2 linked regions of the Mus musculus genome follow. The protein of the gene in region 1 interacts with the protein of each later gene in a biochemical or structural test. Links are inferred from orthologs where the notes say so. Each region holds a gene or a part of one and is shown in the gene's direction. Other genes may lie near its edges. The genes, in order: Atf4 and Crebzf.

Region 1 (4,385 bases):
CAGGTTCAGGAGTTTAGCAAAGCAAGGGGTGGGCATACATCATAGAGTTAGGAACTCAGCATAGGTTAAAAACCATGGTTTGCAGGGTACATTATGCTTAGGGGACAGAAACTTGTAAGGGATGTCCACTTAATGTAGCAGTGTGGCTGCTGTTTTGGTTTCCAGAGCAAAGAGAGGACATAGTTACCCTTTTGTTGCTTTTGCATGGAAAGACTAGGTAACTTCTGTATGTGTGCACATGCACTTGTGACTTCTTTGGGTATAAAAACATCTCATTATGTAGGCCTCGTGTTTTATGGTTGGTTCCGTCTCAGTAAACAATAATAAAGGCTCCTCTGAGGAAGGAGGATGGAGTTAGGGATATAGGGACTGGAGAGTTAGGTTCGAATTAATAAATAGCAATCAATCATATAATCAAGGACGACCTTGAACTATGGTACCCGAGCGCTAGGGTTGGGTTGTACAAGGCTTGCAAATAATCACTGAGCAGTAAGTGGCAGGCACTGTGCCAGTTGAGTGGTATTTGTGTGAGTCACTTAAACAGAAGTGGAAACTCTTTTTAAGATTTCCAGGCTGGAGTTGGAAAGAGCCTCTCAGCACTCTCAAAACAGCATCCTTTATGGTGAGGCCTTGACCAGTACCTGGGGCTCCCGATCACTTAGGCGGCAGGCTCACTCATCAGGATGACTTCTTGGGAAGGTGATACCTGGAAGTTAAGGCTTGAGAGCCAACTGAATAAACCTGATCTTAAGGGAACTGACCCTATACAAACCGGCAGTGAGGGCCTCTATGATGGGAGGATGGGCATAGGAGGTTAGACCTGAGGTTAGGCATGTTTCCCCGGTTCAGGGGAAATCGCTGAACTGGAGGAACCGGAATATCTCCCAAGAAGACCCCAACACGAACGCCCTGCCTCCAAGTGCCGTCCCTGTCCCAGGACTGACAGGAAGCTGAAGGTTTGGACCAGCTAACTCAGAAGGGTCTCTCCACATGCCTGAAGCCTGCCCACTCGGTTCTGGAAACAACAAATACATGAAAAGATGGCTTCCAGCCCAAAGGTCACGCCTGGAAGCTGTTTGCTCGGTGCGGAGCGATGCCGGAGAGAGCAAATACACATGGATCACATCTGACAAGAGATGGCAGGTGTGACAGTCTGGCGCCCGGAACCTCTGGTGGCTCCTCCCTTTCCACGCAGACCCCTGATCCTAGAGCGCCCAGGTGCAGAGCCAATAGGAACTTGAGGTTTAGGTGACTCGCCACGCCTGGGCCAATCAGCTCGACGCGCGCTCCGACGGCGTCTCGCGTGATAACCTGGCAGCTTCGGCTTTGACCGTCAGAGCTTTGGCTAGGTGTCCCACCCCGCCTTGTAAGACACCGGAAATTCGTCAACGAGCGATCCCTCCGCGCTCCGGAACCAGACCGCGGCTGGTCGTCAACCTATAAAGTAGTGCACTTTTCTCTCATGGGGCCTTTAGGACGATCTCTAACGCCACAGTTACCCCCCGAGCACAGCGGAGAAGGGTTGGGGCGGGCGAGGGCGTCAGTGAGAGGCGGTTTGGTGGCGCTGCGGTAGGATCACGTGACCACAGTGGGAGGATACGCGGTGTGCTGCGTCCCTGGCCGAGGCTATAAAGGGCGGGTTTAGGGCGTGCCGCCGCCATTTCTGCTTGCTGTCTGCCGGTTTAAGTTGTGTGCTCGGGTGTCCCTTTCCTCTTCCCCTCCCGCAGGGCTTGCGGCCACCATGGCGTATTAGAGGCAGCAGTGCCTGCGGCAGCGTTGGCCTTTGCAGCGGCGGCAGCAGCACCAGGCTCTGCAGCGGCAACCCCCACCGGCCTAAGCCATGGCGTGAGTATGGGGCCGGCCGCGGAGGGCGGGGGCCTCGCTGTGGTTGGGTGCGGCCCGGGCGCGGTGGCCGGCACACGCGGTTTTACAAGCGGCCGGACGCGTCGGCCTTGTTTGCGTTGCCTGCGACGCCGGCGCTCCCGGGCAGAGCTGGGCGGAGGAGTGTCTAAAGCGCTACTGCTGCCCCTTCGTCCTGTCTTAGCTTAATCATCTCGGGCTCACCGGGGTCCCCGTGTCATCCTGCGAACGTGGCGATGCCCAAGATGGCGGTGGGGCGGGGGTGTGAGTCACGGGGGCGGGGCGCGGCGGCCTTGGCCGTATTAGGACGCGAGGACAAGCTGCTTCCTCTGGGTGGCCGGTGAAGCAAAGCTAAGCCTCCATCTTGTGCAACCCGAGCTGGCGGCCGGGGAGGCTTACACAATGGCCTTGGGCCCGCGTGCTCTCCCTGTAGACGCTTCTGGGATTTGGCCATCCGGCATCTTAGATAGAAAGATGACTGGACTTGCTTTTGGGTCCCCATCCAGGCTCTTCACGAAATCCAGCAGCAGTGTTGCTGTAACGGACAAAGATACCTTCGAGTTAAGCACATTCCTCGAATCCAGCAAAGCCCCACAACATGACCGAGATGAGCTTCCTGAACAGCGAAGTGTTGGCGGGGGACTTGATGTCCCCCTTCGACCAGTCGGGTTTGGGGGCTGAAGAAAGCCTAGGTCTCTTAGATGACTATCTGGAGGTGGCCAAGCACTTGAAACCTCATGGGTTCTCCAGCGACAAGGCGGGCTCCTCGGAATGGCCGGCTATGGATGATGGCTTGGCCAGTGCCTCAGACACCGGCAAGGGTGAGTAGGACGGCTGTCCTGGTGTGCCCTTTTCATATGGATCTGGTGTTCTAATGGCTTTCTGCCTCCCGAATATGACATGAACCGTTCACACCTGAATTTCTTTTCCCAGAGGATGCCTTTTCCGGGACAGATTGGATGTTGGAGAAAATGGATCTGAAAGAGTTTGACTTCGATGCTCTGTTTCGAATGGATGACCTGGAAACCATGCCAGATGAGCTCTTGACCACGTTGGATGACACATGTGATCTTTTTGCCCCTCTAGTCCAAGAGACTAATAAGGAGCCCCCTCAGACAGTGAACCCAATTGGCCATCTCCCAGAAAGTTTAATAAAAGTCGACCAGGTTGCCCCCTTTACATTCTTGCAGCCTTTCCCCTGTTCCCCAGGGGTTCTGTCTTCCACTCCAGAGCATTCCTTTAGTTTAGAGCTAGGCAGTGAAGTTGATATCTCTGAAGGAGACAGGAAGCCTGACTCTGCTGCTTACATTACTCTAATCCCTCCATGTGTAAAGGAGGAAGACACTCCCTCTGACAATGACAGTGGCATCTGTATGAGCCCAGAGTCCTACCTGGGCTCTCCCCAGCATAGCCCCTCCACCTCCAGGGCCCCACCAGACAATCTGCCTTCTCCAGGTGGTTCCCGTGGGTCTCCTCGGCCCAAACCTTATGACCCACCTGGAGTTAGTTTGACAGCTAAAGTGAAGACTGAGAAATTGGATAAGAAGCTGAAAAAGATGGAGCAAAACAAGACAGCAGCCACTAGGTACCGCCAGAAGAAGCGGGCTGAGCAGGAGGCCCTCACTGGCGAGTGTAAGGAGCTAGAAAAAAAGAATGAGGCTCTGAAAGAGAAGGCAGATTCTCTGGCCAAGGAGATCCAGTATCTGAAAGACCTGATAGAAGAGGTCCGTAAGGCAAGGGGGAAGAAGAGAGTTCCGTAATAGGGTAGTCAGGTGCTTTGTGCTTGTACATAGTCTTGTGTTGCTGTGTTTGCTGTAATAAATTATTTTGTAGTGAAAGTACCTATGTGGGTTTTCAGTGTCATTCTTTGTAATAGACTTAACTGCAGACGTTCCTGGGTTAGATACAATAACTACCTGGGTATATCCCAGGGCTGAGCTGAGCTGTTTGAGACGGTGAAGATGAGGGAGCTCTGGGTTAATGAAAGGAACAGCCTGAATTCCACCTGTTCATACTGGCTTTGTGCCAGATAGCTGCCATGTAAGTACCTAGATGAGGTACCCGCCTTGAGCACACAGAGGATTAGGTTTTTCTCAGGCTTAAGGGATAGAGCTCATATTCCCTCTGACACAGATGGCTGGACTGTTTCCACCTGGTGGAAGGGCTGGGGTGATAGTAAACAGTGGCAGGTACTGTCTACAGAGGTGAAAATGAGCAATGTAGGCAGGAAGCTGGGAAGGGAACCTAGGCTTCCAGCTCCAGGGTCCTGGGCTACCTGCATCTTTACCTCTTAAATCTGGAAACTGTTAAAGCCTGCAGGGTTAAGAGGGATCTTTCAGCCTTCCCAATGCCAGTAGACTCACCTGAATGTTAGCTGTTGGGATGAATGTAGTCCATTGGGTTTGCTAATCTAGGATTCCTAAAACTATGGAATCCACCCGTAGTCTGGCCAAGAGTGGAGGAAGCTGTAGAAACCTTGACAATGTCAGGTATGACAAAAGGCTGGAAGTACTGCTTGCTCCCGT
Region 2 (4,479 bases), on another chromosome or scaffold:
GGAGGCAGAGACAGGCCAGCCTGGTCTACAAAGTGAGTTTCAGGACAGCCAGGGCTATACAGAGAAACCTTGTCTTGAAAAACAAAACAAAACAAAACAAAACAAAACAAAACAAAACAAAACAAAACAAGAGTTGCCTTGGTCATGCTGTCCCTTCACAGCAATGGAAACCCTAATTAAGACATTTGTCTTTATGGAAGATGTCATGCATACTTTTACACAGAGTTTCATGGTGGTCAGGTCATATTGCTGCATACTCTCGATTATCAGCAGGAAACTCTTCCACCAAACTGTGCTTTGCTTAAAAATGCCTAAAATTGGGCTGGTGAGATGGCTCAGTGGGTAAGAGCACCCAACTGCTCTTCCGAAGGTCAGGAGTTCAAATCCCAGCAACCACATGGTGGCTCACAACCATCCGTAATGAGATCTGACTCCCTCTTCTGGAGTGTCTGAGGACAGCTACAGTGTACTTACATATAATAAATAATAAATAAATCTAAAAAAATAAAATAAAATAAAATGATTTAAAAAAAATGCCTAAAATTAAGAACTCTGGGATCATACTCTTGAAGTTTGAATCAACACTGGCTACTCAGTGTGTTAAACTGAATTACATTACTTTGTTTGTCCTGGTGGTTGCAGAAGCCCCCCCCCCCCCCCCCCCCCCCCCCCCCCCCCCCCCCCCCCCCCGCACTATTGGCCCAATGTGTAGTGAGGCTTAAAAGAATTCGTTACATCAGTGCTATGTGCATGAACTCATTGAATAAAAAGTGAAGTGTTTTGTTCAAGACTTGGTCTTTTCAAAAAGCTGGTATTTTAAAAACGGAAAAAGCCTAAGTAACTACCATGACTTGACAAAAGAAAAAAAAAGCAGAAAACAAACAGCAAAACAAGAGACCAGTAAACAAACCAACCACCCACTCTTGGCAAAGGAGCTAATTCTGCAAGTGACCCTTATTGCAAAAACAAATGATAAATAAAAATGATGTAATAATGACAATAATAGCAGTAATAGTATTATGAAAGATCATTTTCTGAGACTAAGGACCTCTGAATGTCGCCTGGGGAGTTAGTGTCAGTACGTGACTGCGTTCCCCAGAATTTGGTAACACTTCTGATTTAAAGTCTTTTGTTTTAACGGGGACTATTTCCTTATGCGTGCTGTTTTTTGCTTGCAGTTTAGAGAGAAACAGCAAAAATAAAAGCGTTCACAAAAACAGTTTTTTTTTAATATAGCTACGTCAAATATGTCTAGATGTCATATTGGATCGAGGAGAGTGGTACCGGGTAGTACCGATGAGTGGGGGGGGGGTGGAAACTAGGTTTTATTGTGTTTTGCCTGCTGCTCCTATGACATCACCGCAAAGCCGAAGTTACTGCACCTCGAAAGCACTCGGAATCTCGCGATACTCTGGCTGGAGCGAAGCGCGTTTTTGTGGGCGGGGTGGGCAGAGAGTAACTTCCGGCCAGGCCGCTGTCTGGGTGGCGCGGCCGAGTCCTCCCCCGGGCCTCGCCGCTTCGCGCTTCCACTGCCTTCCCCCCGCCTCGTGCGGGGGGTTGGGCGGCCGCCGGAGGCCACTCGGACCTTGCCCCGCGCCTGCGGTCGGCCCGGCGCCGTGGCTCTGCGCGCTGGGGGCCCGGGGTCGGAGTGGCTGCGGCCTACCCGGGCCCGCCGCTCAGCCCCATGAGGCACAGCCTGACCAAGCTGCTGGCAGCCTCGGGCCGCGACTTCCCGAGCCGCCGCGACAGCCGGGAGCCGCCCGCCACGCGCGCGCCGCCCCGGGAGCCGAGCGGGGCAGCCGCGGGGGCGGAGACCCCGAGGCCCGGATCGCCTGACCGCGAGCAACCTCACGGGGACGGGGACGGGGGCGAGCCGGAGGCCCGGAGCGGGAGCCGCGGCAGCGTGGCCGTGCGCGCGCCCGCGCCCTCGCCCCTGAAGATGGAGGAGGAGGAGGAGGACGCGATCGCCATGGTCCCCAAGGAAGAGCCGGAGGACATGGACTTTCTCTCCGGGCTGGAGCTGGCCGATCTGCTGGACCCTCGGCAACCGGACTGGCACCTGGAGCCCGGGCTCAGCTCGCCCGGGCCCCTGTCCTCGTCCGGCGGAGGCTCGGAGAGCGGCGGCCTGTTGAGGGGGGACGACGACGACGACACCGCGGCCGCCGAGATGCAGCGCTTCTCCGACTTGCTGCAGAGGCTGTTGAACGGCATCGGAGGCTGCAGCAGCGGCGGTGACCGCGGCGGCGGGGAGAAGAGGCGGAGAAAGTCCCCGGGAGCAGGAGGCGGTGGCGCCAACGACGGCAACCAGGCGGCGACCAAGAGTCCCCGGAAGGCGGCGGCGGCCGCTGCCCGTCTTAATCGGCTCAAGAAGAAGGAGTACGTGATGGGGCTGGAGAGTCGGGTCCGGGGACTGGCAGCCGAGAACCAGGAGCTGCGGGCCGAGAATCGGGAGCTGGGCAAGCGCGTGCAAGCACTGCAGGAGGAGAGTCGCTACCTACGGGCCGTCCTGGCCAACGAGACCGGACTAGCTCGCCTGCTGAGCCGACTGAGCGGCGTGGGACTGCGGCTGACCACCTCCCTCTTCAGAGACTCGCCCGCCGGCGACCACGACTACGCCCTGCCGGTGGGGAAGCAGCCGCCGGAGCCGCGGGAAGAGGACGACGCGGCGGGAGGAGTGTGTCTCCATGTGGACAAGGATAAGGTGTCGGTGGAGTTCTGCTCGGCGTGCGCTCGGAAGGCGTCGTCGTCTCTTAAAATGTAGGGTCAAGTAATCTGCTCTTTATCCGCGTTTACCCCTTTCTCCTCCCTTACACCATGTCAAACACCTTAGTGGGACATCGTCACCGGACGCATTTCAGAGGCGGAAAAAAAAGTAATATTAAATCTTTTAAGTGTTTAGCTAAAAGCATGAATGTGACACTGTAACCAACTCCTAATGATAACCTGTGACTATTAAATCTCTCTGACAGTTTCTTTTTTAGGTGATTTCCTTCCTGCCAGGCTCCGTTGTAGGGGTTACAGAGCAGTCGTTCCCGCCTCACAACCTGGTAAGGATCCATCTCTTCCCGTAACGCTCATGCTCGGCTGCTTAGGCTACTTTAATGGGCAGACATCTCAATGTGTGTGTGTGTGTGATATCTTTTTCTGTTTGTTTTTCTTTTTGAAAGGTGGTGGGAGGGGAATCTTAATTTGGGCCTTGTCCACCCTGGAAACAGACTTGTGCTGGTCATTAATGTACTTAAGTTGCTTCTGGTTGAAATAGCTGTTAAATGTGTCCCCTTGTTCAGAGTTGCGTGTACCTAGCTCTTCTGTCCCCAGTGTGGACATGGCCTTGGATGACATCGGTTCCAACTGTACACAGAAACCTGCTAATAGAGATACAGTTTGGAGACAGTCAAACAGGTGAAGTTGAATGGAAGTTCCGAGTTGTACAAGGTGCAAATTGGAATTCCAATTGTAGAGCAACTTTTCAGAGGTTGACAATAAGTATTGAGGCATGCGCAAATGTGGTATTTTTCTGGAGATGACAAGTCTCCTAAAATACTTAATGAATGCCTTATAGTTTTCAGTAGAAAATGCAGAAATACAGTCTATTTAAAGACCCTAATAGTTCACCACTTGAGAAGTTGGAAATTAACATACCCATCAGATTTCTGTGTTTTAATTAGAAGACGATAAATGAAATGTTTCTTTGAGGACCAGCACAGTAATTACTAATCAATGAGTATGAAGAAATTGTTGAAAGTATTTATTTTTGTTGTATTAAAATTTAGGCTAAATTTCTGTATGATTAGATATTGAAGGTTGTGAAATGTGAATGAAAACATGTAAAGTGAGGCTTCACAAAGAATCTTTTCTCCATATTTCTAAAACTTTTGTCCTATTTAAAAATACTTGTTTAAATTAATGAAATGATCGATACTGTTTTTCCAAAGACGGAAAAGTCTTTCCTTAAAATACTGTTTTTTTGTCCACTTGTCTTAAGTGTGTGTTCTGATGCTCTGAAATGCAAGAGACATTAAATTCTTTGTGAAACATCACTGTTTGATAAAGGATATACGTATTTAGCATCCTTGTTTTTCTTTGTGCTAAAGTGGATACAGCTGTTGGGGCAGAAGAGACGGGACCAGCTGCTGGCCACATTTCCTGCTTTATTTTAAAAGGTAGTATAAGAAATAAGGAAACAGAGGTAATATCAGGGCTTCTGCTGTCTTTTATTTTTAAAATGTTCATAATTAAGTATTTTCCAGCAGTCCAAAGATGTAAGTTATCCTACACGTAAGATGTTTTATTTTGTTACTTGGTTATGGAAATGGAATCTTGTTCTTGCACAACTGTAAATGTTTTGTTGCTAGATAATATGATTTTGAGACCTAAATTAGTCTCTGGTTTTTCAGTCTATCACATTTTGTAAAAATCTCTACTGCACTTGAGCATGAATGGGTAGTAGCCAAACTCACAACTTGGAGTGACGGACCT

Evidence for each region.
Region 2: the proteins of Atf4 (region 1) and Crebzf form a complex in vitro, tested with the Homo sapiens proteins (2 studies listed by IntAct, with this or other methods). The link is inferred for Mus musculus from reciprocal best matches to the Homo sapiens genes ATF4 and CREBZF.

The regions. Positions count from the first base shown.
Region 1 is NC_000081.6:80,253,841-80,258,225, forward strand, and holds Atf4 (cyclic AMP-dependent transcription factor ATF-4), read left to right. Parts: upstream 1-1,343; 5' UTR 1,344-1,845; intron 1,846-2,366; 5' UTR 2,367-2,458; coding exon 2,459-2,681; intron 2,682-2,793; coding exon 2,794-3,620; 3' UTR 3,621-3,705; downstream 3,706-4,385. UniProt on the Homo sapiens protein: Transcription factor that binds the cAMP response element (CRE) (consensus: 5'-GTGACGT[AC][AG]-3') and displays two biological functions, as regulator of metabolic and redox processes under normal cellular conditions, and as master transcription factor during integrated stress response (ISR).
Region 2 is NC_000073.6:90,441,331-90,445,809, forward strand, and holds the start of Crebzf (CREB/ATF bZIP transcription factor), read left to right. Parts: upstream 1-1,450; 5' UTR 1,451-1,684; coding exon 1,685-2,761; 3' UTR 2,762-4,479.